7 linked regions of the Mus musculus genome follow. The protein of the gene in region 1 purifies or fractionates together with the protein of each later gene. This does not show direct contact. Links are inferred from orthologs where the notes say so. Each region holds a gene or a part of one and is shown on either strand. Other genes may lie near its edges. The genes, in order: Hdac2, Zmynd8, Appl1, Rreb1, Sinhcaf, Bcl11b and Pml.

What was found.
Region 2: the proteins of Hdac2 (region 1) and Zmynd8 purify together in Homo sapiens (affinity purification with mass spectrometry; 4 studies listed by BioGRID and IntAct, with this or other methods). This does not show direct contact. The link is inferred for Mus musculus from reciprocal best matches to the Homo sapiens genes HDAC2 and ZMYND8.
Region 3: the proteins of Hdac2 (region 1) and Appl1 purify together in Homo sapiens (co-immunoprecipitation; 3 studies listed by BioGRID and IntAct, with this or other methods). This does not show direct contact. The link is inferred for Mus musculus from reciprocal best matches to the Homo sapiens genes HDAC2 and APPL1.
Region 4: the proteins of Hdac2 (region 1) and Rreb1 purify together in Homo sapiens (affinity purification with mass spectrometry; 4 studies listed by BioGRID and IntAct, with this or other methods). This does not show direct contact. The link is inferred for Mus musculus from reciprocal best matches to the Homo sapiens genes HDAC2 and RREB1.
Region 5: the proteins of Hdac2 (region 1) and Sinhcaf purify together in Homo sapiens (affinity purification with mass spectrometry; 3 studies listed by BioGRID and IntAct, counting the BioPlex papers as one, with this or other methods). This does not show direct contact. The link is inferred for Mus musculus from reciprocal best matches to the Homo sapiens genes HDAC2 and SINHCAF.
Region 6: the proteins of Hdac2 (region 1) and Bcl11b purify together in Homo sapiens (affinity purification with mass spectrometry; 4 studies listed by BioGRID and IntAct, with this or other methods). This does not show direct contact. The link is inferred for Mus musculus from reciprocal best matches to the Homo sapiens genes HDAC2 and BCL11B.
Region 7: the proteins of Hdac2 (region 1) and Pml purify together in Homo sapiens (affinity purification with western blotting; 3 studies listed by BioGRID). This does not show direct contact. The link is inferred for Mus musculus from reciprocal best matches to the Homo sapiens genes HDAC2 and PML.

What each region holds. Positions count from the first base shown.
Region 1 is NC_000076.6:36,991,340-36,995,156, forward strand, and holds part of Hdac2 (histone deacetylase 2), read left to right. Parts: intron 1-417; coding exon 418-559; intron 560-2,268; coding exon 2,269-2,361; intron 2,362-2,436; coding exon 2,437-2,545; intron 2,546-3,817. UniProt on the Homo sapiens protein: Histone deacetylase that catalyzes the deacetylation of lysine residues on the N-terminal part of the core histones (H2A, H2B, H3 and H4).
Region 2 is NC_000068.7:165,783,704-165,787,520, reverse strand, and holds the end of Zmynd8 (protein kinase C-binding protein 1), read left to right. Parts: intron 1-273; coding exon 274-357; intron 358-1,782; coding exon 1,783-1,931; 3' UTR 1,932-3,369; downstream 3,370-3,817. UniProt on the Homo sapiens protein: Chromatin reader that recognizes dual histone modifications such as histone H3.1 dimethylated at 'Lys-36' and histone H4 acetylated at 'Lys-16' (H3.1K36me2-H4K16ac) and histone H3 methylated at 'Lys-4' and histone H4 acetylated at 'Lys-14' (H3K4me1-H3K14ac).
Region 3 is NC_000080.6:26,925,511-26,929,327, forward strand, and holds part of Appl1 (DCC-interacting protein 13-alpha), read right to left. Parts: intron 3,224-3,817; coding exon 3,049-3,223; intron 2,967-3,048; coding exon 2,930-2,966; intron 2,366-2,929; coding exon 2,219-2,365; intron 1,344-2,218; exon of another isoform or gene 500-1,343; coding exon 449-499; exon of another isoform or gene 127-448; intron 1-126. UniProt on the Homo sapiens protein: Multifunctional adapter protein that binds to various membrane receptors, nuclear factors and signaling proteins to regulate many processes, such as cell proliferation, immune response, endosomal trafficking and cell metabolism.
Region 4 is NC_000079.6:37,930,284-37,934,100, forward strand, and holds part of Rreb1 (ras-responsive element-binding protein 1), read left to right. Parts: coding exon 1-2,206; coding exon of another isoform or gene 2,207-2,259; exon of another isoform or gene 2,260-3,817.
Region 5 is NC_000072.6:148,943,425-148,947,958, reverse strand, and holds the start of Sinhcaf (SIN3-HDAC complex-associated factor), read left to right. Parts: upstream 1-1,488; 5' UTR 1,489-1,667; exon of another isoform or gene 1,668-3,370; intron 3,371-4,534. UniProt on the Homo sapiens protein: Subunit of the Sin3 deacetylase complex (Sin3/HDAC), this subunit is important for the repression of genes encoding components of the TGF-beta signaling pathway.
Region 6 is NC_000078.6:107,986,216-107,990,032, reverse strand, and holds part of Bcl11b (B-cell lymphoma/leukemia 11B), read left to right. Parts: intron 1-202; coding exon 203-568; intron 569-3,817. UniProt on the Homo sapiens protein: Key regulator of both differentiation and survival of T-lymphocytes during thymocyte development in mammals.
Region 7 is NC_000075.6:58,229,035-58,232,851, reverse strand, and holds part of Pml (protein PML), read left to right. Parts: intron 1-2,223; coding exon 2,224-2,361; intron 2,362-2,765; coding exon 2,766-3,024; intron 3,025-3,444; coding exon 3,445-3,497; intron 3,498-3,817.

The sequences.
Region 1 (3,817 bases):
CCTCCCTCCATGTTGAGTTGTGTTGTTTGTTTGTTTGAGATAGGGTTCCTCTGTGTAGCCATGGGTCTCCTAGAATTTTCTCTGTAGACCAGGCTGACCTCAGACTCAAGAGACCCACCTGCCTGTACCTCCTGATGGCTGTGATGAAAGGTGTATGTCACTAAGCCCAACAATTCTGAAATTGTGTAATGTAGCCCTTGGCATACCCTTTAGGTGTGAGTACATAGATAATGTCTGCCCGTTTTTAAAGTGTAAAGACAAGGGTAGACCTCAGAGTACAGTACTCGATTGTCTTGGTAGCCCGAGGAGACGTGACGTGCTGGGGTCTGGATGCTGAGACTGCGGGGGAAGAAGGGTGAGCATTCGCTGTAAGATGAAGGACCTGCTTCCACATTCCGGCTTGCGCTTTCCTTTCAGGTATCATCAGAGAGTCTTATATATTGACATAGACATCCACCATGGTGATGGTGTTGAGGAAGCTTTTTATACAACAGATCGCGTGATGACCGTCTCATTCCATAAATATGGGGAATACTTTCCTGGAACAGGAGACTTGAGGGTAAGACTGAGTTCTGTCAGAATAAATATAAGAAGAGCATAGGAGGTTGCTAATTTCTGGAAGAGCCATGTTGTCTTAGTCATTTTGTTTGTGTATTTGTGATGGGACCTCGGCATCTGGTGTGTATGGTTTTTTTTGTTTGTTTCCGGAGATGTGGCCTCACCTTAGTTGAGCAGTTGTTGGGATCATTGCTTACTGTTAGGATTTGTCACATGTGGACCCACTGAATGCTGCTTGTTGTTCAGCTGTGATTACTTTGAATATGTAGAAACGAGGGATCAGAAGTGGTCTCAACTCAGTTAGGTGTAAGTGCTGATCCTAAAAAGTTTGCTGTCCTCTCCAGGTTGCATAGGTTGTCTTGGGTAGCAGGGGTGGGGTCACAATGGGAATGGACAGTGTTCTATAGGTGTGGGGTACAGATTATCACACTGTCTTGTGGTAGGTTGGGAGAGGTCAGGCAGTGTCTTTATCTGAGATCACAGGCATAGAGTCCCAGGGTGTCTTATTAGGTGGTGTTGAAGACTGATTTTGGGCTCCCTACCTGGGGTTGTGTTCTCAGGACTCCATGTTGCCCCAGAGTGGCGCAGTGGATGTAGAAGCTCTGAGGATCCCTCCCTACCTATGGGTCTGGGTCACAGGGCTCCTCACTTTGAGAATGGTGGATAAGTGGGCTCTACTTTTACATCTTGTAAAATTGTTTCATGCCTCAAACTGAGGTTTGTAAGAACTTTTTAGTTTATTTTGTGTGGTGGGGAGGAGCACATGTGTGCCCTGTTACATGTGCAGGAGTCCTCCTGCCATGGGTGGATCCTGGGGATCAAACCGTGGGGATCTCACTTGTTGGGCTTTATCTACCCAGGTATTTCGCCAGCCCAAACTACAGTGCTTGTGTGTTATCTAAAAACTGCCTTAGAGCTTAAAACGTACTTCTACAACCTAGAATACCCAAGACACAATTTACAAAACTCATGAAACTCAAGAAGAAGGAAGACCAAAGTGTGGACACTTTGTTCCTTCTTAGAAGGGGGAATAAAATACCCACGGAAAGAGTTTCAGAGACAAAATTCAGAGCAAAGACTGAAGGCATGGCCATCCAGAGACTGCCCCACCTGGGGATCCATTCCATAAACAACCACCATACCCAGACATTATTACATATACCAACAAGATTTTGCTGACAGGACCCTGATATAGCTGTCTCCTGTGAGGCTATGCCAGTCCCTGGCAAATACAGAAGTGGATGCTCACAGTCATCTATAGGATGGAACACAGGGCCCCCAATGGAGGAGCTAGAGAAAGCACCCAAGGAGCTGAAGGGGTCTGCAACTCTATAGGAGGAACAACAATATGAACTAACCAGTACCCCCAGAGCTCGTGTCTCTAGCTGCATATGTAGCAGAAGAAGGCCTAGTCGGCCATCACTGGGAGGAGAGGCCCTTGGTCTTGGGAAGATTATATGCCCCAGTACAGGGGAATGCCAGTGACAGGAAGCAGGAAATGGGAGTGGGTGGGTAGGGAAGCAGAGGGAGGGGGGAGGATATAAGGAATTTTTGGAGAGGAAACTAGGAAAGGGGATAGCATTTGAAATGTAAATGAAGAAAACATTTAATTTTTTCAGAATTGTGTGTTACTTGGTCTTTTAATCATTTTAAAATATGTCAGACTTTTTGTTATGAAATAGTCTTCTAAGATCTACTTTTGTGTTTTAGGATATTGGTGCTGGAAAGGGAAAATACTATGCTGTCAATTTTCCCATGAGAGATGGTATAGATGATGAATCATATGGACAAATTTTTAAGCCTGTAAGTACTGCTTTCAGAAATAAAATGGGAGTTGTAAATATCCTTAGATACTAATGTGTCTTATTCTGTGGCTAGATCATCTCAAAAGTGATGGAGATGTACCAGCCTAGCGCGGTGGTGCTGCAGTGTGGCGCAGACTCCCTGTCTGGGGACAGGCTTGGTTGTTTCAATCTAACTGTCAAAGGTAAGCAGTTCACGTTCCCCCTGGTGTGGTGTTTCTCCTCCCCAAGAACTTCCCATAAAAGTTTTCATTGCTGAGGGCTGGAGAGATGGTTAAGAACACATGTTCCTTTTGTAGAAGACTTGGGTTGGATCCCAGCTCCTACATGTTGGCTCAAAATCTAGCACTCTCTTCTGATTTGCATGCATGTGGTACGCACCATACATGTTTAAAAACATATTTTTAATTTCTCATTGTTACCTTTTGCTTGCCAACTCGATGCCAAACTCTATATTTGAATTTTTAGTGGATTTTTATTTGTTGTTGTTGTTTGTTTTTGTTATGTGGCTGACTAGTTAATTTAGTTCCCCAAGTCTTACATGTTATCATATTTATGTTTATGTATTTATCCATGAGTAGTTTGTTGCCATGTCAGCGCCAGCAGTTTTTAATCAGTTTTTTCAGAAGACCTGTACCTTGTTGTCTGATTCAGTTGCTGTTACAGAGTATGAGGATTTAGCTTGGCGCACTTTATTCTATCATGGTTACTCTCTTCCTTACCCAACCCTAAGAACTTCGGTCGCTGTGGCTAGTGCTCAGCAGCAGTGGTTTTTAGCTTAGCAGTCTTCTCTACTGGCAAGACTCACTTTTTTTTCTTCTGGATTTTTTTGTTTGCTTAGTTTCCATATTCCTTATTACTAAACTATGAATTTCTAATGTATTCTGCTCAGCTATCTCAGGTGCTCTGTCACTGAGCTCCTCCTGTTCGGACTTAGTGTCCTCATGGGTTTAATGGGACAGAGAGCTCTCTGCTTCTGCTTTATTATGTCTCCTGATCAGTGGGCACTGTATCTAACTTGCTGGTGGAACACATAAGTGTCTTCATGAGGAAAGAAGCCCAAGTGTAAATGTGTAAGGTGGTGTTGAAATTCTCAAGTCCTTACGAAGAGCCGAAGTCCACATGCTGAATACAAGTCTCATATTGCTGTTATGGGATGAACTTCGAGGGTTTCAGAATGAAGCAAAGTTGCATGTGGCAGCGCATGCTTTTAGACTCAGCATTAGAACAGCAGAGATGGGTCCAGGCCAGCTAAGGCTTTATATATAGTAAAACCTTGTCTCATAAAGAAAAAGATAAATAAAATAAATCTTTTTAATAAAGTTAATGTTTGGATTAGAAATGACTTAGCATGCACATTGCATGTTTTACTTTAGACTTTCTGTGTGAACTTTGAGGTAGTAAGTAACATCTTGCTTTGAGTTCTCTTACAGAACTTTTAAGATAATTAAATATAG
Region 2 (3,817 bases), on another chromosome or scaffold:
CTTTCAAAATCCTGAGCATTTGTGGCTTGCCAAGTATGGGGCTGCTTTTATGTCCCCGCGTGTCCTTCTATGTTCACCTTCCTCCCTGTGATGTGGCGCCGTGTCCAACGACCCTGTTTGTGGTTTACACAAGTTTTTAAAGGCCCCAGTCACCTGTAAGCACATCCAGTCGAGTGGCCTACATGAAGGAACAGCTAGCCATGGGTGTCGGCCCCTGGGGTTGTGTGCAATTTCAGCTGTGATGGATTCTAAGGCTACCTGTGCTCTCTTCAGTTAGCAAGAGGTGTGACAAGCAGCCTGCCTATACCCCAACCACTACAGACCACCAGCCGCACCCCAACTACCCAGCCCAGAAGTGTAAGTATGACCCTGTCTCAGGGGAGCTGCTGGGAGAGTCACTCCTGGCATGCAGAAGCCATGTTTTGTGTGTCTGTGTGTGTCCGTGTGGGCGTGTCCTGTGCTTTGAGTGTTGGTCTCCCTCTGCTTTGCCGTCGCCGTCGTCTTCTTGTTTGTTCCCCATTGCTGCCTTTGCAAACTGCTGTAGGTTGGGCCATTCAGAGCCTTTGTTTTGTCTTAGCTGGGTACTGCATCTCCCCTGCCGTGGTCTGCCATGTTAGCCAGCATCCTGGGCCCAGTCCTTTAGAGGCTCAGGCTTTGGAATCTCAAGTTCTGTTTCTTTCATATCCCCACTGATCTTGGCTCTTCCCCACAGCTGGAAGGACTTGGTGATGTGCGACTATATCCATGCCACCCCTCAAAGACCTTCTAGAAGATTATATAGCCTAACTGCCAGGAATGTGAGCTCTCAAAGGACCATTTGGAACTCTGATTGTCCTTTTAGAACACTGCCCCCTTCTGGCTGAATATAAAAGCAGCCTGAACTTTTAAATTTTTATTTTATTTTATTTTATTTTATTTTATTTTATTTTATTTTATTTTATTTTTTTGCATGTGCTTTGTGAACAGGCAGTAAGAAGTAAGAAAGACAGTCCCCCAAGGGCAGCAGTGGTCCCTTCTCACTAGCCCTGCTCCATCTTAAGCTTGATGCTCCACAGCTCAGGAAAGTTAGAGAATCTGGGAGCAGCAAAGGGGTCTTAGTGGCCAGCCATTAAGTGTAGGGCCTTAGTGTAGGGCCATTGTCCTCTTCTGTGATAGCGTCTGTGGCTCTTCTGTTAGCTTCCTCTTTGCTTCCTCAGCCACTACCTAACTTGCTGCCCGTGTGACCTCAAAGCCATCCCAGGTGTCCGTTGGGGTCTGTATCCGTCACTGACCCCTAACATGGTCCTTACTGGGAGTCCACGGAGTCAGTGTCCAGGTGGGCTTAGCCATCTCATCTGGTCCTCATTTCTTCTCTTACAATATCTTCCTGGTTTGGATATGAGTCTTATAAATGAATCAGGAGTTCTGTGAGGTCACCACAGATGTCAGATTCTGCGGGTCTTTCTCTAAGAGCCGAGGTCAGAGGCAAGGTGCATGGGCCCCCCGTGGTATAGTCCAGACTCTTAACAGGGCAGGGGTTCCCCGTCGACTGGACACCATCACTCGCTAACCTCACTCTCTGCTAGTGTGACACCTTTTGACCTTTCAGTTAGCTATAGCCCAAAGCCAGCTGCCCTCACTCTGTGTTCTACAGCCACAGCCCTGGGATCTCAGGGGCAGCTGTGGGCGTGGTCCGGTTGGAGTGGGCGTGGTCTGGCTGGAGGGAGGGAAGGTAACTTCCAGCTGGGAGATGAGTTGAGGAAGGTGGGGAGGGGAGTTGAACACACTGCCTTTCCTTCACAGACCATTCCCGGAGCAGCAAGGCAGGTTTGTGGAGCAGCAGCGAGGAGAAGCGAGCGTCATCCCGCTCTGAGCACAGTGGAGGGACCAGCACGAAGAACCTCATGCCCAAAGAGTCCCGGGAGTCTCGGCTAGATGCCTTCTGGGACTAGGGGTGCATTGTGAGCCAGAACACCTCCCTATAGGCGGGAGAAACAGCCCAAACCACAGGAAGCAACAGAAACTGGAGAACCGCCACCTTTAGAATTTCCAACACTCAGGCTCTGCCCGTCGGCTTGGCTGCAGGACAGAGACTTGACTCCATCCCAGCTCTGGTCTTGGCTGGGATGGCACTACCCTGTGAGCCAAACACTTTAGGTGTAAGTAGGTACACTTGTGACGTCACTGACCTAGCGTACCTTTCCTTTTCATATCTACACTGACCTTAACTTATAAAAAAAACAGAAAAGAAAAGCAAGTTTTATATATATACATATATATATAAAGATCTACAATTAAAAGAATGTTTTGATAATCCAGGGGCTGGTTAGTGAGCCCGCTGGCCTCACTGGGGTGTCAGGGCTGGGCCCAGGGATTGCTATTTTCACGTAGGCCCTTGTCCTTGGATACCCAGGGGAGGGAGCCACTGTCGCCGCAGCACACCAGGATTGGGGCTCTCAGGCTGTGCTGCCCTAGACCCGCCACACCAAGCCATCCGCCCCTCACAGACCCTACAAGACGATGTTAGGAAACACATGCTTGCTGGCCTTGAAGGACACAGAGAGAAGTATGTGTGTGTGGTGTGTTTCCAGCTCTGGCTCCCGAAGGGGCAAAGCAGCCTCCTGTTTACAGAAGGTCCACGCGAGCTATCCCCGTGGCGTTACGAATGCAGCCAGCGCCCGGCGTTTGTGCAGGGGTGTCGGGAACGAACGCAGCCAGCGGGCATCTGTGCGTGCGAGGAGACCCCTTCTCTCGGCCAAGTTTTTTCCCATAACACCCACATGGATTTGTGAAGACGTGCTTCTCAGAAGCAAGGACTCAAAAAGCAAAGGTGCACGGCGAGGCCACGAAGCCCACGCCAGCCCGGGGATGGAGCATGTATGTATTATTTATCTGCTGGAGTTCTACGTTTTTATGTAAGCATGAAACACAGGCAGTGTGAGAGAAAGCCAGGACCCGACATGCTGTCCGTTAACGCTACGTCTGCTGTAGTTCCATTTTGTATGTTGTGTAAAGCGAGCATCGATCGAAGCAAAAGGTGATGTGTGTATATCAGAAAAAAGAAATTAACTGTATATCATTCCAGTACATTCCGTTGTACATTTTAGTCTCCGTTTACTTTCTCTTCATTGTTGATAAGAGAATGCCAAGCTGCGCGTTGTTCAGGCAGTTTACCCCTACTAGAGAAGAAAGGAAGAAACGCTAGAAGAAAACAGGAGAGAGAGAAAATTTGTGAATTGCGGTCGTCAAAACAAAACAAAACAAACAAAAAAAAACAATCTAGCCTAGCTGGCCTTATTTGGGAAGCGTAACTGCTTTTAGCATATGGGAGTATTTTTTCACATTTTCTTTGTATAAAATTTGTATTAAACTTAAATATCTTTTTTGATGATGGCGTTTCTTCATGGCTGAACAGCGTCCTCTCGCGGTTATGAGCTTTTGGGTTCTCCCCCCTTTGACATCCCAAGTTTTTCAGGTTCTTAACCCTTTTTAAAAAAAAACTAAACCGTTTTGGCAAAAGGGTTTGGTCATGCCAATCTCCCGTGGGTCAGGGTGTGGCTGTGTCAGGTTTGAATGGCCACAAGAGACAGGTCTCCTGAGGTCCCGGGCACCCTCCCGGGACGTGGGCTGGACTGGGACTTTCTTACCTCCCATGGTAGCTGCAGTCTTCTGAGGCCAGGCTTCATGAGCGCTTCACCTGTGCTAATGCCACCTGAAGTGACTGGTACATCGATCTTTGGCTCTAGGTCAGAAAGTTCATCTTCAAAGGCTGAAGTTTCCCGTGGCCTTCTGGGTAGAGATGCCCATATCTCTGGTCTGGGGCTCAGGCCTGCATAGG
Region 3 (3,817 bases), on another chromosome or scaffold:
AAAGGGGAAGGGTAAATAAAACAGATATGTTAAATAGGAAGTAACTTTAAATTTTACATTATTTCTATTAATATGAGCTTTGTAACTTTTCAGTACATTTACATTAGGCATACAAATAGTTTTCATTCTACAACACACACTAGTCCAGAGTCTTTTCTTTTTTATTTGGTTGGGACTTCTTTGCTTTTTTAGAGACAGGGTTTCTCTGTGTATCTCTGGCTGTCCTGGAACTCACTCTGTAGACCAGGCTGGCCTTGAACTCAGAGATCCACCTGTTTCTGCCTCTCAAGTGCTAGGCCTGGCTCCAGATTCCCAATGCTATACAAGAAACAGCACCTACCATTGATCTTGTTTAGCATATAACTTTATTTACTGCTAGTATGAAAGAGCTTTTATTACACTGCTTTAGCTTAGACAGCCTTGGAAATTAAGTGGCTCTGATTCTTACCAGTTCAGCATGCAAAGCTATCTGTTTTGCCAGTCCAACAGAATCACAAATCTAAAAGGAAAAAAAAAGTAAAACCTTTATATTAAACTAGAGAGTTTTATACTACACTAAAAATTTCAAATACCCAAATGGATGACAGAACTAGTTTCATAATAATATAATATACTTCTTCAAATAAGAATTAATTTAATTATTTCAACCCCAAAGAATCTCAGCGTGTTCCTTCAGAATTGATGACCTTGTACTGCTGGCTTTTCTTTCCACCATGTGTCCATGCTACTTCTCGTTATATCAGATCACCATAAAGCTACTGGTCAAAATGCAGACAAGTAACTGTAGCATGCCCAGGCCCAAGTGATACAACTGATGTATCTACAGCACAATCCCTACACATTTAAGGCTAAGGAAAAATCATATAAGAGAGTTGACCCTCTTTCTGCAGGACCCCCAAACCATAATGGTCCTGCAACATAATAACCCACAGGCTAAGACTTGGGTGACTCTGAGCCTGGACCCCAGGGAACGCTTGCACAAGCAATGCCTAAGTGCACTTAACATAGCCACCCACATCTCCCAAGTCAGCCTACATAATGATCACCCCTCCCTACTGCAATCTCCCTCACCCCCATGACTTTCCCTCAAGCCCTACCACCACTCAGGAGCCTTTCCCAGAGTTGCTTCTCTGGTGTTATCCTGGAAGCCTTAATCCTGAGGCCCTCAAGGCTGCTGAGGCTGGGGCGGGGTGGGGATTCACCCAGTCCCTATTACCCTACATCTCCAACTGGGAACATCATGGAGGTCTGAGTGCTGATGGCCAGTGTCCCTCCCCACTTTGTTCCTGACAACAAAGACCATCAACCCCCAGAGGACAAGGTCCTTCTACAAACTAGGTACCTAGCCACCAGGACCTTCCTCTGACAGAGGATACTAAGCTCATTAGAACCCTCAATGGAAGGAACAGCTGGGAAAAGGGAAAGTATAACCCCATTAGTGAATAAAGATTTGTGAGTGGTTTTAAGAAAAGAGAAAGAGTTGAAAAGGTTGTACCAGAACACCTGCTGTAGACAGTGTCTTCTAGACATAAGAACGCTGTAGCTACGAAATTTCAACAATATGATTGCCAAAACAAGACCTAAAAATTGATAACTGACATGCCAATGGAAATCTCACAAGGCCCAACCCATGGATGAAGAAGAGCTACAGGAAAAAGACTGTTATGTCCAGAGACGAGCCTCAATAGGTTATCCAATGCTAATGGTCAGACCTAAACATATGAACATAAGAACAACACTAAATGGACCAGGTAAGTTTTACACACACACACATCAATAATAATAAAGTTATGAACTTGAAGGACAGACATAGGAGGAGTTGGGAAGGAAGAGAGGAGAGGAAATGATGCTAATACAGTATTCATTTATGAAGTTAGCAAAACCACAAAAACTTAAAAAACATCATTACTGAAATAGTAAGTCATGCAGAGAATGAAGGAGTTAGGTAATGATACTGGTATGAATTACTGACACCTAAAAATGACTGTAGGAATATACTCCATCCCGAAGGTAAGTTAATGATTCAAGACTGAACCAGCTATCAATAATCCACAGAACCTGACAGGCTGCACCATCAGCCAGCTCTCCCCAGAGAAGCACGCTCTCATCAAGCAGCTCAACTGGACTAGGCGTAATCGGAGAGCTTTTCCCAGAAATTTAAGGTGAAAATGGACTCTGATGAGTACTTTATAAAATGAACATTTTGAAAGGCAGGTACCTTTTCTCCCTCATTGTTTGATTCAAATATATAGCAGACTGATGACAAATTACTCTCACTTCTTCCGCCTGATGTCCGGAGAACAAATCCAAAAAGTCGTTTATTTTCCTGGTGCGTAGCATACAGAACTACACACGGCAATGGAAACTGCCACAGAAATACCATAAATATGAGATCTCCCAAATCAGTACAGCAACATTCAGATGATAAACTCTCATGATAAATTCTAAAATATCACAGGTAAGAATTTTAAAGACACATTTTCAATAGAAAAATAATCTAGGTACAAATAATGCCATATTTGGAATATTCCAAAAAAAGGTTATTAAATACGGAGTTATTTTTCAACATATTCACCAATATATGTTTAGCTACAAAAAAATAACCTACTCAAAAATGATTAAGTCATACAATTGTACCCACAAAAAAATATAGAATTATAAAATAAACACAATTATGTTCATGTTTTGATTACTTCTGCTAATTCCTTTGGTGCATAAACTCTCTAGGGATTAAAAACTATCATCAAAACACGTTGACTCTTTACAAGTGCTCAGTAACTTTCTGGAGCTGGCTGCATATATAACTACAACCTAAGGAACAATCTTATTGATACTGTCGTACCAGGATACATAGGACCAGGTTATCATCAAACTATAAAATGTATATATGAACAAATGATTCTTAAAGCTTTAATCATATAGAACTCACTGTGAGCCTTGTAACTTGGGTCTGCGGATCAATTAACCTATAATTAAAATTTTGAAAAACTTTTTAATTAGGCAAAACTAAAAAATTACTTAAGTTTTTTAGAGAGGGTTGCTACTTACTTCAAGCAGTCACAAGTGACTAATAAATGTGATTCTGTCATACGAAAGATGTTGTGGATGGCCCGAGCAGCTAAGATCTGGCGCATTGTTTCATAGACAACATCTGGATGGTCATCTGACTTTACCTCCATAGAACCAAGGAATCGGACAATAAATAACTGATGAAGAATAGAGTCTGTAACACAACATGGTACATTATGAGAGATGTACTTTTCTATTTTTGCAGCACAGGTTGGCCTTAACTCACAATACATGCATATGTATATAAAACATATAAATACTGCTTCAGTATTTATGTATTTTTCAATCCTACAGTTGTTTCCCAAAAGAATATACTGAATGATTTTGGGTTTTCCTATGAAGAATAAAACCTAAAAAATAAATTTAGAAATAACCCTAACACTTCAGTGTTCAAATTATAAGAAAATTAAGGTCTCAGTGACATGGTTTTGGGGGGTTTGAATGAACATGGCCCCTGCAGGCTTAGAGCGGCACTGTTGGAGGTATGGCCTTGTTGGAGGAAGTAGGGGTATAGACGTGTCAGAAGCTCAAGCCAGGTCCAGTGGCTCATTTTTTCTTCCTGCTGCTTGACAATCCAGATGTAGAACTCTGAGCTTTCTCCAGCACTATGTCTGCCTGTATGTCACCATGCCTCTGACCATAATGGACTAAACCTCTAAACTTTAAGCTAGTCCCAATTAAATGTTTTCATGGAAGAGCAGATGAGATAGTAGGTGTCTGTAACCCGGGGCTTAGGGGCACAAGGGAG
Region 4 (3,817 bases), on another chromosome or scaffold:
CTTCCTCCACAGTCCCTGAAGTTCCTCAAGGGGTCGGTGGAGGCAGTGTCCAATGTTCATCTGCTTCAGTCCAAGTCTGGGATCCAGCCAAGCACCACCACACAGCTCTTCCTGCAGCAAGCTGGAGTGGAGTTGCCGGGCCAGCCCGAGATGAAGACACAGCTGGAACAAGAGAGTATCATTGAGGCCCTGCTGCCCCTCAACATGGAGGCGAAGATCAAGCAGGAGATAACAGAAGGTGACCTCAAGGCCATCATGACAGGCCCCAGTGGCAAGAAGACCCCCGCCATGCGCAAGGTGCTCTACCCCTGCCGCTTTTGCAACCAGGTGTTTGCTTTCTCTGGAGTCCTGCGAGCCCACGTTCGCTCCCACCTGGGCATCTCACCCTACCAATGCAACATCTGTGACTATATTGCTGCAGACAAAGCCGCCCTGATCCGTCACATCCGCACACACAGCGGGGAACGGCCTTACATCTGCAAGATCTGCCACTACCCATTCACGGTCAAAGCCAACTGTGAGCGGCACCTGCGCAAGAAGCACCTCAAGGCCACCAGGAAGGACATTGAGAAGAACATAGAGTACGTGAGCAGCCCCACCGCAGAGCTGGTGGACGCCTTCTGCGCCCCAGAGACCGTGTGCAGACTGTGCGGGGAGGATCTGAAGCACTACCGAGCTCTACGCATCCACATGCGCACACACTGCAGCCGGGGCCTGGGCGGCTGCCACAAAGGCCGGAAACCCTTCGAGTGCAAGGAATGCAACGCTCCCTTCGTGGCCAAGCGCAACTGCATCCATCACATCCTCAAGCAGCACCTGCACGTGCCCGAGAAGGACATCGAGAGCTACGTGCTTGCCACCAACAGTGGCCTCGGCCCCGCGGACACGCCCACGGATGCCGCTTCCAGAGGAGAAGAGGGCAGCTGTGTCACTTTCGCGGAGTGCAAGCCCCTCGCCACTTTCCTGGAGCCCCAAAATGGCTTTCTTCACTCGAGCCCCACCCAGCCCCTGCCTTCCCACATCTCTGTCAAGCTGGAGCCAGCCAGCAGCTTTGCCATGGACTTCAACGAACCCCTTGACTTTTCGCAGAAAGGCCTGGCACTGGTCCAAGTGAAGCAGGAAAATGTTTCCTCCTTGCTGACGTCTTCCTCCTCCTCTGCCCTCTATGACTGCTCCATGGAGCCCATTGACCTGTCCATCCCCAAGAGCGTCAAGAAAGGAGACAAGGACACAGTTGTTCCCAGTGACGCCAAGAAACCGGAACCGGAAGCTGGGCAAGCCGAGCCGCTCTCACCCCGCCCACCACCCTGCCCTACCTTGTCAGTGACTGTGGAGCCCAAGGGGAGCCTGGAAACCCCCACAGGCACGGTGGTGGCCGTCACCACAGCTGCCAAGCTAGAGCCCCACACTCAGCCCCTCCAGGGCTCCGTGCAGCTGGCTGTCCCCATCTACTCCCCCGCGCTCGTCAGCAATACTCCCCTCTTGGGCAATTCTGCTGCCCTCTTGAACAACCCAGCCTTGCTTCGGCCCTTACGGCCAAAGCCCCCCCTCCTCTTGCCAAAGCCCTCGATGACAGAGGAGCTGCCGCCACTGGCCTCCATCGCCCAGATCATTTCTTCCGTGTCCTCGGCCCCTACTCTGCTGAAAACGAAGGTAGCTGACCCTGGACCATCGATCACCAGCAGTAACACTGTGGCCACAGACAGCCCAGGAAGCTCCATCCCCAAAGCTGCCGCCACCCCCACTGACACCACAAGCTCTAAAGAATCCAGTGAGCCACCCCCTGCAGCCAGCAGCCCTGAGGAAGCCTTGCCTACTGAACAAGGGCCGGCTGCCACTTCCTCGTCGAGGAAGAGGGGCAGGAAAAGGGGACTGAGAAACCGGCCCCTCCCCAACAGCAGTGCTGTGGACCTGGACTCCAGTGGGGAGTTTGCTAGCATCGAGAAGATGCTGGCCACCACAGATACCAACAAGTTCAGTCCCTTTCTGCAGACTGCAGAGGATGACACTCAGGAAGAGGTGGCTGGAGCCCCTGCCGACCAGCATGGGCCCGCTGATGAGGAGCAAGGTAGCCCCGCAGAAGACAGGCTGCTGAGAGCAAAGCGGAACTCCTATGCCAACTGCCTGCAAAAGATCAACTGTCCCCACTGTCCCCGGGTCTTCCCTTGGGCCAGCTCCCTGCAGCGGCACATGCTTACACACACTGGTAAGAAGGCCCTCACGGCTCACCAGGCGGTGAGTCTTGAAAGGAAAGAGTAATGGGTAGGGATAGGAGTAGGCCTAAAGTTTGGGGCCTTTGTCTCATGCTCCATTCTTTGTCTCAGAAGTCACAGGCTGTTACTTTCCATATAATCTGTGCCTGTGGTCTGAGCCACCAAGGCTTATCTGTAAATAAATGTATCAGACACAGTGACAGTGGTCATAGGCTCCTTCACTTCCCTCCCCATAACCTTTGCCTGACAAGTTCCAAGAGTTTCTAAGTATGGAGGCCATTCCGGAGAAGTGGGACTTTGCATTAAGGTAACAGTGATGTAATGAGCTTGGTGCTTTGACATGATAATCTTCAGTGCCGTCTTTTTTTTTTTTTTTTGAACATTCTATGGAGTTCTTTAGCTACCACACATGTAATACAGAAAAGTGGGATTGGATATTTTTTCCCCTTCACTGAGGTAGCTCCAGCGTCCCTTACTTATTTTGACTTTTTTTCCTATTTGGAATACTTAGATGATTGATAGTAGTAATTTTTCTAAAGTTCTATTTATCCTAAAATTGTCAACTGTTGAGGAAAACATTCTGCGTATCATTTGAATGTTTTAATTAACAAAGCTAGATTACCAAAACAACATCCCGGAAATAGTTTTCAGATGTCAGTTTCTAGAAGTTGAAGTGTAGAACAGAGACTTATCTATTAAATTACTTTATGCCTAGTGCTTCTAATATTTCAATAGCCATCTAGAAAGGTATAATTATAATTTTCTGAATAGTATCACAGGATTTGTATCATCGATCGATTGGGCGATTGTTGTACATTCAGTGAAGTCCTTACCCTTTTGGAGTTTACAGTTTAAAATATGGATCACTGGCAAGATTTGACTTTTCAGACCAACAAGTATTTTGTAGTATTTGGGACAGACGGAAACATTACTTATTGATCAGAATGATGCTCAAATTTTACTGCAGATCTTTTTGCAGTAGATCTTGCTAGAAACACTCCAGGAAGGAATGCTGTGATTTCCACCCACCCACCCCCGCCCACTGAAGATTTGTGTAGATAGGCCATCTCTCAGCAAACTGACAGGCTTCCTGGGAGCCAAAGTGTCCATTTCTTTTCCATTTGTGATGGCATCTGCAGATACCAGAGACGTGTCCCCTCTTTCCCTGGGGTTTGATCACTGTTGGTGTAGGAGCATCTGAACCTGTTCGGTCCCCAGGGCCCACAGAGTAGAAAAAAGAGCCAACTCCTACAAGTTGTTCTCTTGCTTCTACACGCAAGCCATGGCACAAGTGTGCTTACGTGTGCACGCACACACAAACAGAGAGAGAGAGAGAGAGAGAGAGAGAGAGAGAGAGAGAGAGAGAGAGAGCGCAGCCAACAGCATTGAGCAAAACCCAATTTCAACTGTAGTTAAGCAAACTGCCTCCATCATGAGAGAGGGTCTCTTTCCATCCTCTCAGCTACTTTGTTGAATTATCCCAGCATCTGTACTTGGTCTCAACCCATTTCTCCATTCTACCCACTCCCTACCACGGAACAAAGAGGTCAGCTGCTGAATGTCCAACTAGGGGTCCACCTGCTGGCTGCCAGCACAAACATGGC
Region 5 (4,534 bases), on another chromosome or scaffold:
ATTGTTTTAGGTGCCTGAATACAAACATAAGGGAAAAATCTTTGCCTTTAAGAGTTGTATTTTAGTGACAGTTGTCAGGTTTATTTATTTTACTCCTTTACAGGAAGAGTGTTACAGAACTTTAAAAAAAAAAAACGTTGAGGTCTTCACAAGTAGGTTTAAACTGTGTTTTAGGAATTGGCTATTGAATTAAAGTAGCATTTCAGAAATATTTGTTTGAATCTGCATACAGCAAAAGCAGTGAATCTTGTCTTTTTTTTTTTTGTTTGTTTTTATAGTTGGTTTCCATACTTTGCAGCAAAGGACCAGTATCAAGTTTTGGTGAAAAAACATTCTCTTTCCTACCTATCCTCCCAGGATCACTGAACCAGGTGTTATGGGTCGCTGGGCTTAAGGAGTATCACAATTATATTTTCATTTCTTACTTTTTCATCTGAAAAGTTACTTAAGCGTCTTCCTCCTTTTTCCTCCCTCCTCATTGTCTGGAACCTCCCTATTCTTTGTTTTCTCTAGATTACTCCCTTTCTTCTACAATCACCTCCCTTTTAGGTTTTCTTTAGAAACATTTTGATGTTCGATTATCGTATATTCCACAAGGAATAGTGTGTATTTTGCTTCCACTTTCTCCCCTCACAAGTGGTTTTTCTGGGCAGAGGAGCTCTTCACGGCTGGAGGATTTGTGTGTTTTCAGAAAGTGGCACCATTCCCACGGTAATTACCACCATGAAATTCGCAGAGGCTTGAAAACTTCAGTTCAAGTGAGCAAAGCAAAACCACTCAGTTATGGGTTGGGTCATGTTTGAGAGGGACAAGACGGAATTACTGAATGGACCATTTCAAAATGCGACTTTATTAAACAATTTATCATCAAAGCCCCAAAGAACGAAAACTCTGTTGGAGAATTGAAATTTTAATTTGTGTGTGCATGTGGTGCGCGGGGCGAATTTGCAGAAGTTGGTTATTGCCTTCAGGTGATCAGACTTGAAAGTACCAGTTGAGCAGTCTCACAAGCCAGGCAGGCCCTGAAAGACAAAATGTAAAGCTCACCTTCAAACAGAGTTTAGGAAAGGCAGGAACAAGTACAAACTGAGTGGTTCCACGACAACTTTCTCTGCCACCTCAAGCCAGAAACTGGGCATAGGTGCGCGAATGCTGCAAAAGCAGCTTCCAGAACTTTCCAAGCTCAGTAGCTTCCTAAGGGGTGCCATTCGGTGAGGACAACGCTCACCTTTACACCTTTCGCGTCCTGCCACGCCCCCGCGTCGCCTCCTTTTCCCCCGGGGGCTGGGGAGGGCGTTTGTTTACGTGACGTTGCGGAGTAGGCAGGACCCGCCCCCGTCCCCGCGGGCCGCCGCGTTTCCCGCGCCTCGCCGCTTCTCCCCTTAAAAGGACAATAGAGGCCGCGGGAACGCGCGCGGACGCCCTGCCCTCTCCCCGCCCAGCCCGCGGCGCGCACGCGCCCGTATGCAAATCAGCTCGATTCAAGAGAATTTGGTCCCGGGAGCCGCGCCTGCGCAGAGGGAAAGCGGAATCTATACCTCCGTTCGCGGTAGCAACTGAAGAACTGCTGGAGACAATCTTTCTGGACTCGGCGCTGGCGGAGGGAGTGCTTGCAGGAGGTTGGCCTGGTGCAGTTTGCACCGTGGGGACGCTGCTGCGCGTGGAAGGTGAGTGATTCTAGTCCGGACATCGGTGCAAAACTGTCTCCGAGGTTTTGTTTTCTGTGATTTTTTTTTTTTCTTTCCTCCCTTTACCTCCCCCGCCTCCTCCGTCCTTCCCATACACAAACACACAGGAAGTTTTGTCTTGGAGATGGCATTGCGGGGAGCGCTGCCCTCGTGCTCTCCGGACTCCAGATTCTTTTGTACAGAGGCGTTGGAGATGCGCTTCTTAATTGAGGAGGATATTTGAGGTAAACCGAAAGTCAGGGTGTGGGGAAAGTGAGTGCAGCGTGGAAACGAACGAGCTGCGGCGGACTTGCATCCACGCTGAAAGTGACAATGACTTTTCTAGGTCGTAGTGTTTCCTGCAGACCCGGAGAGCAGGGTCGGGGTCGCAGATCCCGTGTGGGCTCTGCTCTGGCCAGGGGCTTGGGCTCCGCGTGCACCCGCGTGTTGCGCTACCCCGGCGCTCGCGACGGTGTTTGCACGCGGGTGAACAACAAAGCCGGAGCTCGGAAACTAACTTGCCAGTTCCTGGAGCCGGCGGCCACACAGGCTGAAGGCAGCTGGTGAGGGCCAGCGCCGGGATGGCGCGACGCACGCGGCGTGGCGTTGTTGGAGAAGTCCGCAGGGACGCGGCTGCGACAATGAGCGCGCAGCACGCGGTCTTTGCACTCGGCCGGTGCCGAGTGGTCTCTGCAGCCCAAAGTTCGCTGTCCGTCTGGTCACCTGTAGCGTGGGTGCGGGCGACACGGGAGGGGTGGCCGTGGCCCGCGGCACCAAACAGTGCGGATGAAGGCGGCGGCGCGGTCCGCTGCTTGAGGCACCCAACTCTTTTTTTTTTTTTTTTTTTCCCTTTTTGTTGTGTGTGCTTCACCTGACAAGCCACGTGCTTAGGGCCGCGACCGTGCTACATCTCAGTGTCCAGCTCGGAGTGAGCCGCGGGCTGCGGTCGCCGTCGGGGCTGTCGGGAGCAGGACAATGTGATTTCCTGGTGATGGCGTCTTGCCAGTTTCCAAAGCACAGCGAAAGTCGCCAACTCGCAGCATATGCACGGCGGCGGGGACCTCTGGGCGTTTCTCATCCGGGACTCCGCAAAAGTTTGGCCCCAGGGACCAGTGGCTCAGGATACCCGAGCTCGCGTGGGTCCCCGGGCGCGGGTCCGGGTCGCCCCGACGTCGCCGATGCCGCCGGACAACAAAGGGCCGCGTGTGCCCGAGCGGCGCGGGCCGGGCGGGGCGCGGGGCGGCTTTTGTCCCTTAGGTCCTCTCGGAAACTTCAGCGGCGGCTCAGCGAGGCTGTGTCCGTGGGGGCGCCTCGGCCTGCGGGTCACCCATGCGGAGCGACGGAGCGCTGCTCGGCGGGACGCACGCGTGGCCGGGGCTCCGAGGCACGGGAGGCCGCGTCTGGGAGGTCCGTGCATCCGCCTTTGAAGTGGAACTGTTGCCATGTTTGAATTACGTCAGGCCGAGCGTGCGGAGCGGCCCGGGAGCAGAGGCGCGGCCTTCGGGCGGCGCCGGCGGGGCGCGGGCCGTTGTTCCAGCGCAGGTGAGGGCGGCGGATGGCGCGTGGTGCCCGGGGACCCCGGAGCGCTGGGCTCCCTCCAGGAGTGGAGCTCCGCGCCCTACCCAGGACCTCCGACTACACGCGGGGAAGTTTCGGGGCGCCGGCTCTTGCCCCTCTTGGAAGTGGAGACTGAGGAACTGGGGGTGCGTGCAGCCTTTGTGTGTTTACACGTGGGGCGACCGGCGAGGCGCAGGGCAGGTTGGGTTGGGCGGCTTTTAAGACGGAGCAGTTCTGGTAACCAGCACCCCAGTCCGCCTCTTGTTATTTTTCTTCTCACCTTTCCTTATTGCAGGTGAAGAATGACTACGAGCCAGACGTGCACCGTGTCCCCCCTCCCCCTCCATGTTAGGAGTTCGTTTCAAGTAGGCTCTTGGTCTTCTCTTAATGCTTTCTAAAGAAGGATCCGGCAACTTTTTTAGTGAGAGGTGGACGTAAAACTTGTTTCTAGCAGTGTCCGGAAAACATCTGCTTTTGAACTGAAGTTTGTCAGACTTGAAAATCATTTTAATGGTTTTTGTGCTGCAAAACTGAACGCGAAAGTCTGGGGTTCGTTTTTTGAGTCCCCGCAAAGCATAAATGCATTTAAAGTATTCTGAGGATGTTTTGTGTTTTGACCTTAAAGTATGCAGGACTCAGATAAATCTTAGATAACCTTGAGAACTGCTGCATCTGGGGAGTAGGGCCTTTCCGAGATAAAGGATGCTGGGAGAAGTTGCCAGTGTAGGGAGCCCTTGCTAGTTTCACAATTCCTGGGAACTGGGACTGACCTTCTACTTACCCTCTTACACTTTTTTCAAGCTAACTTTTTGGTATGTGGCTCCAGGCATAGCTCAAAAATTATGCTCGTTTGACACATGGATGCTTCTTTGGTATTTGGGGTTTGCTTGCAGTCTAGACATCCAGCCCAGCAACACCATATCTGTTGCGACTTTCACAATTAATCCTGTGTTTCAGTTAGCTTGTTTTCATCTAGATGTGGCCTTGACTGGGAAATAATAATTTTTGAAGTGAATAGAGAGTGTGTCAAGAAAATTAAAAACCTTGGATATTACAACCTTGGCTTTCCTTTGGGTGACTCCAGGGACATGTGAAAATAACATGAGGTACTTTGCAAACATTGTTTTGTTTTTAAGTAGACTACTTACTGCAAGACTTCAGCTTCCTAGGAAAGTCTATACACACATGTAGAACTAAATGATTCTGTTATTATCAAATGATGTTTCTAAGAGAGATTTGAATGAGTTAAGAGAGAAAGAAAAGCAAGGTCTTCACTGCCTTCTTTTATTTTTGTGGGTGGCTGGAGATTT
Region 6 (3,817 bases), on another chromosome or scaffold:
AGGGAGCCCAAATCAGTGCTGTTGTGCTGACCTCGGGGCTATGATGGTGAACTCCGGTCCCTGGGGGGATGTGGGGAGCCACAGAGGCTGGCAGTCGAGGGGCTCGTCTCTCAGTGGGAAAGGGTGGAAGGAACCAGTCTGTGATGACCTAAGCCCATCTCTTGTCTTCTCTGCCCCTTCCCTGTCTCCTTTCTGTCTCCAGCAGAGGCTGACCATGTGGAGGCTACCATCCTCGAGGAAGACGAGGGTCTGGAGATAGAGGAGCCTAGCAGCCTGGGGCTGATGGTGGGAGGCCCCGACCCTGATCTACTCACCTGTGGCCAGTGTCAGATGAACTTCCCGCTGGGGGACATCCTGGTTTTTATAGAGCACAAGAAGAAACAGTGTGGAGGCCTGGGCCCCTGCTACGACAAGGTCCTGGACAAGAGCAGTCCACCTCCCTCCTCTCGCTCTGAGCTCAGGAGAGTATCTGAGCCAGTGGAGATCGGGATCCAGGTCACCCCTGATGAAGATGACCACCTACTGTCACCCACGAAAGGCATCTGTCCCAAGCAGGAGAACATTGCAGGTATGACGTTTGCTTACCTGGTGGCTGCTGAAGCTGCCTCCCTAGCTGCTCCAACTCCCTGACTTTTAAGCACTGATTCTCAGGAGGTCCAGGGCTTTTCAAAATGGCCTCTGGGTCACCATCTGGGGCTTCCCTTTTCTGAGGGCCCACCTTCCAGGTGACTCTCCGGGGAAGACAAGGTGAAGAAGACCTGACTGTTGTGTGTTGGCTACTTTGCTTTTGGTGAGAAAATGCTGACTTGTGCTTAATCCAGAAGTGGCCTGGAGCACGAGATGGAATTTTGGAGGTTGGCTTGGCCCTCTCTTCGTTGGTGATATTGGCTCAGCCCCTGGCTTTGGAGCCAGGCTCGGTTTGGACTCTGTCATTTCCAACCTGGAAACGGTGGCTTCCTCATCTCTAAGATGGAGTCCAGAAGGACCCACCCCCACCCCCTTTGTGTCGATTGTTGAAGAACGCAGGTGATTCTGAGTGTGGTAGTACCTGCTAGGCCCTTATGCATGGCACTTGTCTACACTCTTCTCTTCGGACTCAGTTTCCCCTGTTGTGAAAAAAAGGGGGTAGGCCCTCTTTTCATGAGCCTGCTTCCCATTTTGCCTGACCCTCAGGTTTTGGGAATCTGTCTGATTTCGACTTCATCTTGCCTTTTGACTTTGGGCTGGATATCTTGAGAATTAGAGCCCTATTTTCCTCTTTTGTGAACGGGGAATGAATAATCCTAGCAGGCCTTGTGTGATGATGGAGGAAGGGGGGCTCTGGAAGAGCTTTGGCAGGAGAACTCTCGTGGGGGTGTCCCTCTGGCTGTGCAGCAGCCAGATGGAAAACTGTGGAGCCAGTCCTGGAGGAGTTTGGGTCCTGAAGCCCCAGGACATGGGGGTTAGGGGAGAGGGGCATTGTATCCTCTTGGAAGGTGATACAAAGCATGGGCCAGGACCTCATGTCACCTAGAGGCGCTCAGAGTCACTGTAAGCCCAGCTCCACCACACACCTCAGTTGCTTACACTTGAGCTCCAGTTTATCCACCTGTATACTGGGAGAAACTGGACAGTCTGATACCCCCACAGGCATAAGATGGGCAGTGGGGAGAATCTGTGGACCAGCTTGGCCTTGGCTTGGCTTTCTGGTGGGTGTCCTGGCAGCGTAATCAGGCCTGGGGCAGACAGGCATGGCTGCACACCACCTCCACCATTAAGGCAAAAAGGGTGTCTCGTCCCTTGTCTGTGTTGCCAGGCATACCACTTGGGATAGATTTCAAGAGTGTGGGGACGCCTGCCCGGCGTCTGCAGTGCACAGCAGCCTTTGAGGGGTGGCTGGTCCCTACTTCACTTTCATCTGCTGACCCAGCCTCAAAATCCTCATTTTATGTTGAAGGTCTTTCCCAAAGAGAGCCTGCGGATCACCGTGGGGAAGTTTGCCTAAGAAAGCAACTAAATGTGATTTTTCAAAAGGCGCTTAATCTCCCCACAGCTTCGTCCTTATCCTTCCATTCCCTCTGCCCCCCACCCCCACCCCGTTTCCTCCCCTCGTACTGTTAATGGCCCACAGTATTTTTATTTTATGCGTGACGGGAGATAGCCTTGGTCCGTCTGCTCGGAGTCGGGGCAAGAGGAGCGAGGGAGGAGTGGATTTGTTCGTTCTAGAAGAAAATATGTAAAATAAGCCTTTGGAAGTCTAAAGAGCTATGTTTGTTCAAAGCATTTAAAATGTTATTCTAATCAAAGGCACAAAGCACTTTGCATGCCGTGTCAGCTGCATCTGGCCATTCCTCTTCTTTCAACCCATCCCACCCTTCCTTTCTACCCCAGGGTCTCCTGGTCCTTCCTCACTTGGGTACCAACTTTTCTTCTTCTTCTTCTTCTTCTTTTTCCCCATTTAACAGAAAGAAAAGATTAAAGAATAAAACATCAGTGGCTCAAATGTATAAAGTAATTTAATATGGTGAGAGCATTAATTATTTTAGCTTAATTGAATTCCGAGGACCCCGCAGTCCTTGCAGCTTGGTAGACAAGGCCTGTTTATTATTTCTGTAGATTAACAGTAAAGGAAACACAGATAACTTTCAGTTATTTATTGTAAAATAAATGTGTCAATTCATGTGTAAAGCAAGCTGCTCAAAGATAATTGAGTCTTTATATTTTAAGAGGGGAGCTAGGAATCACGGGCCCTTCTCCACTCAGGCACCCGGAAATCCTTCCAGCTGCTGTCCAGGCCCCTGGCACACTGGTCTCCATGGGTCCCCTGCTCCTGTCTCCCGCCTGTGGCTTCAGGGTCCCTTCCCTGCTGCTCTGTGCCCTGCTGCTGTCTCCACTGGCCTTGATGGTCCCTGGCAGCCGCTGGTGAGCAGGTGGCTGCTGATTCTTGGGACTTTGCTCCTAGCTGGCCATCATGGCTGAGTCCTTGGTGGGGTGGCTATGCTACTGGAATGTTCTGAGGTCTGCAGCCTTCACTTTGGTGGGGCAGCCTTTCCCCTCAGCCTGACACTTGTAGAAGCAGGGCCCCAGCGATGGGTAGAGATGTTGTTCTGTAGGTGAGAGTCCCCCTGTCCTTAACTGTGTCTCCAGGGTGGGAGTGGAGCTGGGGTTTGGCTAGTCATCTAACCAAAGTGTGGTTGACCCAGTCCCTACCCTTTCCTTGGCAAGGTCTTTCTGGAGATAGCTATAGTTTGTGATCTTTTTGCTGTTTTAAATGACAGAGCAGTGGTTCTCGGCTTTCCTAATGCTGCCACCTTTGAATATAGTTCCTCATCTTGTGGTGACCCCAACCATAAAATTATCTTTTGGTCCTACTTCATAGCTGTAATTATCTGCGAATATGTAAATATCTTAGGCAATCCCTGTGAGAAGGTTGCTTGGCCTCCAAGGGGGTTGCAACCCACAAGTTGAGAAGCTCTGTGGGAGGATTAGAAAGGTACAGAAAAGATTCCATAAAGCTTGGGTCCTAGAGGACATTCATTCATTCATCCATTCATTCATTCACTGAACACCTATGCTGTTCCCCTTAGGAGGGTGTCCCTCAGGGAGTATGTGAGGAAATTCCAGCCCTATCTTTCATGTTGCTACTTGGCTTGGAATCTTCTTGCTGCTCCCCTGCTATGGAAGAGGAGGTCCCGGATGCCTGGTTTCCAGGGCAGCCTAGGGATGGGGGTGATCATAAGCAAAGTCTGTGGCTGGAGATCTGACCCAAGGGATGCCTGTGATGACACCACTCATGGAGGTGCTGTGTGTCCCTCATGACTCCTTCTTGTGGCCTCTC
Region 7 (3,817 bases), on another chromosome or scaffold:
CACACGGACTGCCAGAGCTGTTTTCTGGGGCTGGCATAGGTGGATCTCCACTCCCATGCACATAATTCTTGGACTTAACACTAAGAGTCAGAGCTCAACCCCACAGATTCCAGGGCCATCATATACCTAATAAACTAGTTGCTTAGGGTTGGAAAACACCCTTAGATAATCTCATGCTGGCATTACTTCTGCCGTATCCTTAGCTCAGCAGCTTTCATATCCAGGCCGTTGGGAACAGGAAGTGCATTGGTTCCTGTTTTGATTGCTCTGACTGAGCACTTCTCAGAGGAGAAACACACGGGTATCCTTTTCATTCTCCTTCATCCACGCTCATAGGCATGGCTCCCCTGCAACAGGATAAGCTCTCTCAGTTCCTTTCTGTGCCTGGCATCTTTCCCTCCCCAGCTTGGTCACTCTGTTACGTGTGACTGCATGTCAAGATGTGGGCCCAGAACCAGGCAGATCTTCTGGTGGGGAGCAAGGGTATTAAACCTTTTCTAGCTTTGCCTTGGGGCAAGCCATGGAAAAGAGATTGCTGTGGGTTACAGCAGTGGGGAAAGGCTTCATGGGGGAGGCAGGACTTTTGAGAATTTTAGAGCTACAAGAGAGCGTGGAGTGTAAAGCCTCTTGCAGGGATGTAGTTAAGACCCAGAGAGACTCAGATGTGAGGAAGTTTAACTTGGGCAGGGTCTTTTTCCATAAAAGTTCCTCGTTTTTACTGTGGTCGTCACCTGGGGGCTGAAGCTAGGACTCGGGAAAGACGTGGGTAGCAGTGTGTGGGAGCAAAGGTCCTGTGAGGCTAAACTATAGCTGCATAGCCAGTGCTGACAGGAGAGGCAGCTCAGGCTGACACAGCACTGCCCCATCCCCCACCTTAATGTCTCCTGCTTCTTCAACGCTAGTGAGAGTTGTATTGAGGAAACAGAAGTAGAGGCACCCAGCCTTGCCTGCAGGGATTTCCTGGCCTAAGTAGAACAAGAGCCTTTTATACGCCAGCAACTGCAGAGCCATAAAGGCAAAGATAAAATGGTGAAAATTCCTGCTCCTGCTCTGAGGATTGAATATATGGGGCTTGGAACATGGCAGGCAGGTGCCTAACCACTGGGCTTCCTGCCCAGCCCCATGCATAGTTTGCAGTTGAATATCTACCTTCAGTGCTTTTGAGGTAGTACCTAGGAGTGTAGAGTTGGTAAGCCATGTGGTGATTCTTCCATTAAAAGAGATTTATTTACTTATTTTATGTATATGAATGTTTTGCTTGCATGTGAGTGTACCATATGTGTACAGTACCTGCAGAAAGGTCAGCTGTCGTGTGGGTTCTGGGAACTGAACAACTGAACCCGGCTGCTTTGCAAGAGCAGCCATCTCTCTCTCTCTCTCTCTCTTTTTAAAGATCTATTTATTTATTTATTATATGTAAGTACACTGTAGCTGTCTTCAGACACACCAGAAGAGGGCGTCAGATCTCATTACGGATGGTTGTGAACCACCATGTGGTTGCTGGGATTTGAACTCAGGACCTTTGGAAGAGCAGTCAGTGCTCTTACCCACTGAGCCATCTCGCCAGCCCAGAGCTGCCATCTCTTGAGCTCCCTTTTCACTATTTGAGGAGTTGTTCCTGCTTCATTTAGCAGGACCCTGAACACCAACTCGGACATGGAATAGTAATCAAACTAGTATTATATTCATTAGCCATCCTTGTCACCCTCACTACTGGGTACTAGATACTCTTCAAGACATTTTGATGGCGTTCAGCAAGTGTCATTATTCCATTTTATGGAGGGAGACTGAGACCCAGTGAGTTTTAAGTAATTCCAATGCATGCAGTAGCTACTAGAGTTTAAGACTCGGGTAAGGCAAGCTCCCAGGAGGCTGGCCTCCAAGTTCCCGACTGCTGCAACTCTGTTGCTGCTGAGGGAAGTGTTGCTTTCAGCAGCAAGCAACCTGTCTGTAGAGGCAGGCAAGCTAGGCTGGTTGTCAAGCATATTCTGAGGATAGGCACCATGGTCCCGGAGGTGTCGTCCTGCCCTGTCAGGACACACACAGATTGAAGCAGTGCCTGGGTGCCAGCAGCCCAAGGTCAGAGGAGGTGACATCATGGAGACTTTTGGGAGAAATTACTTGTCCCAGTGAGCTCTTTGATTGGGACCAAGCTTACACCTGAGGCAGGTTGTAGGCCCAGGGTCATTGCATTTCTAACTTTTCTGTTACCTGCTTTTACAGCCCAAAGAAGTGCAGAGTGTACAGGCTCAGGCCCTAGAGCTGTCTAAGACCCAACCTGTGGCTATGGTAAAAACAGTGCCTGGAGCACACCCTGTACCAGTGTATGCCTTTTCAATGCAAGGCCCCACCTACAGAGAGGTAAGCCCCCACTATTCAGCACTGCCTCAATCTAAAAGGCTTAGACTCCAGCCAACAGTGAGGTGTAATTGGAGAATCTGGGCTTTCTCAGGCCTATATTTGCTCCGTATTCTCCATTGCTCTCAGATGCTCCCCATGGAAGCTCGAAATAATCTTAAGCCACTCTCAGCCCAGCTGGGATGCTGAGACAGCCAAAGCTATGAGATCAACCGAGACTGTTGGTCAGTGGCCATGACCAGTGCACATGGCGACCTGAGAGAGCCTCCTGTTTGCAGAGATATGCTCAGCATGGCCAAAAGAAGGAGAGTGAAAACATGCCACAAACCCCCTGTCACTCAGCTCAGTGTCTCAGCCCAGCACCACTAGAGGCACCCCAGTCACCCCTCTAACTTCCCACTCTTCAGGAGGCTTCTCAGACAGTCGGCTCCATGAAGAGGAAGTGCTCCCACGAAGATTGCTCCAGGAAGATCATCAAGATGGAGTCCACAGAGGAGAACGAGGACAGGTTGGCCACAAGCTCCCCCGAGCAGTCCTGGCCCAGCACTTTCAAGGCCACCTCCCCTCCCCATCTGGATGGGACTTCCAACCCTGAGAGCACCGTCCCTGAAAAAAAGATCCTCCTGCCCAACAACAATCATGTTACCAGTGACACAGGGGAAACAGGTAGGAGGATTAGGCAGGGAACACCTGTGTAAGACTGTCATGCCCTCAGATATCTGGAACACCCCAGGCCCCACCTCCACATTCTAATCCCACCTGGGCACTCAGAGCCATCAGGACTCCCATGCCCGAGCTGCTCTGAGCAGCCATTGAATATGGCACTGGTGGTTTACCCTGTGCTTGCTATGATTTCAGTGTGGGACACTGGAGGGGCTATGCCTTAGCCCTGCCTCCTTCCCTCCGAAAACTGCTAGTGCCAATCTCTGTGCTCTGGGGACATAAACACTCCATCTCCTCCTAGCACACACAGGACAGGGTATCTGTCATCCCCAGCCCATTGGACAAGGATTCTCCTGGATGTCTCACCCTAGCCAGTGGCCATTCCAGGAAGGATTTAATGCTGCCACCCCCTCTCCTTTTCAGAGGAGCGAGTTGTGGTGATCAGCAGCTCAGAGGATTCGGACACCGAGAATCTGGTGAGTAACACGGACTTCAGCCTAGGACTTCTGCCTCCCCTTGTTCAAGGTCCCAAAGGCCACAGCCACAGCAGGTGACTCTCAGGCTCACCTGGCACCTGGAAAATTTCCCAGCCAGGCAATAAAACCTAAGTCATACCAAGGACAGTCTGCAGGCACTAGCTGCATGCTTATTGCGTTCTGACCCTCTTTCTGCATCAGGCAAGAACACCTCTACAATGCTTGCTAGGCTGCTTTCTCCAGGCCATGTCCATCCTCTGTAATATCTTCTAGATCTGGAAGCGTCTCTAGAGTTTCTCTAGAGCTTCCTTGTGTACTTT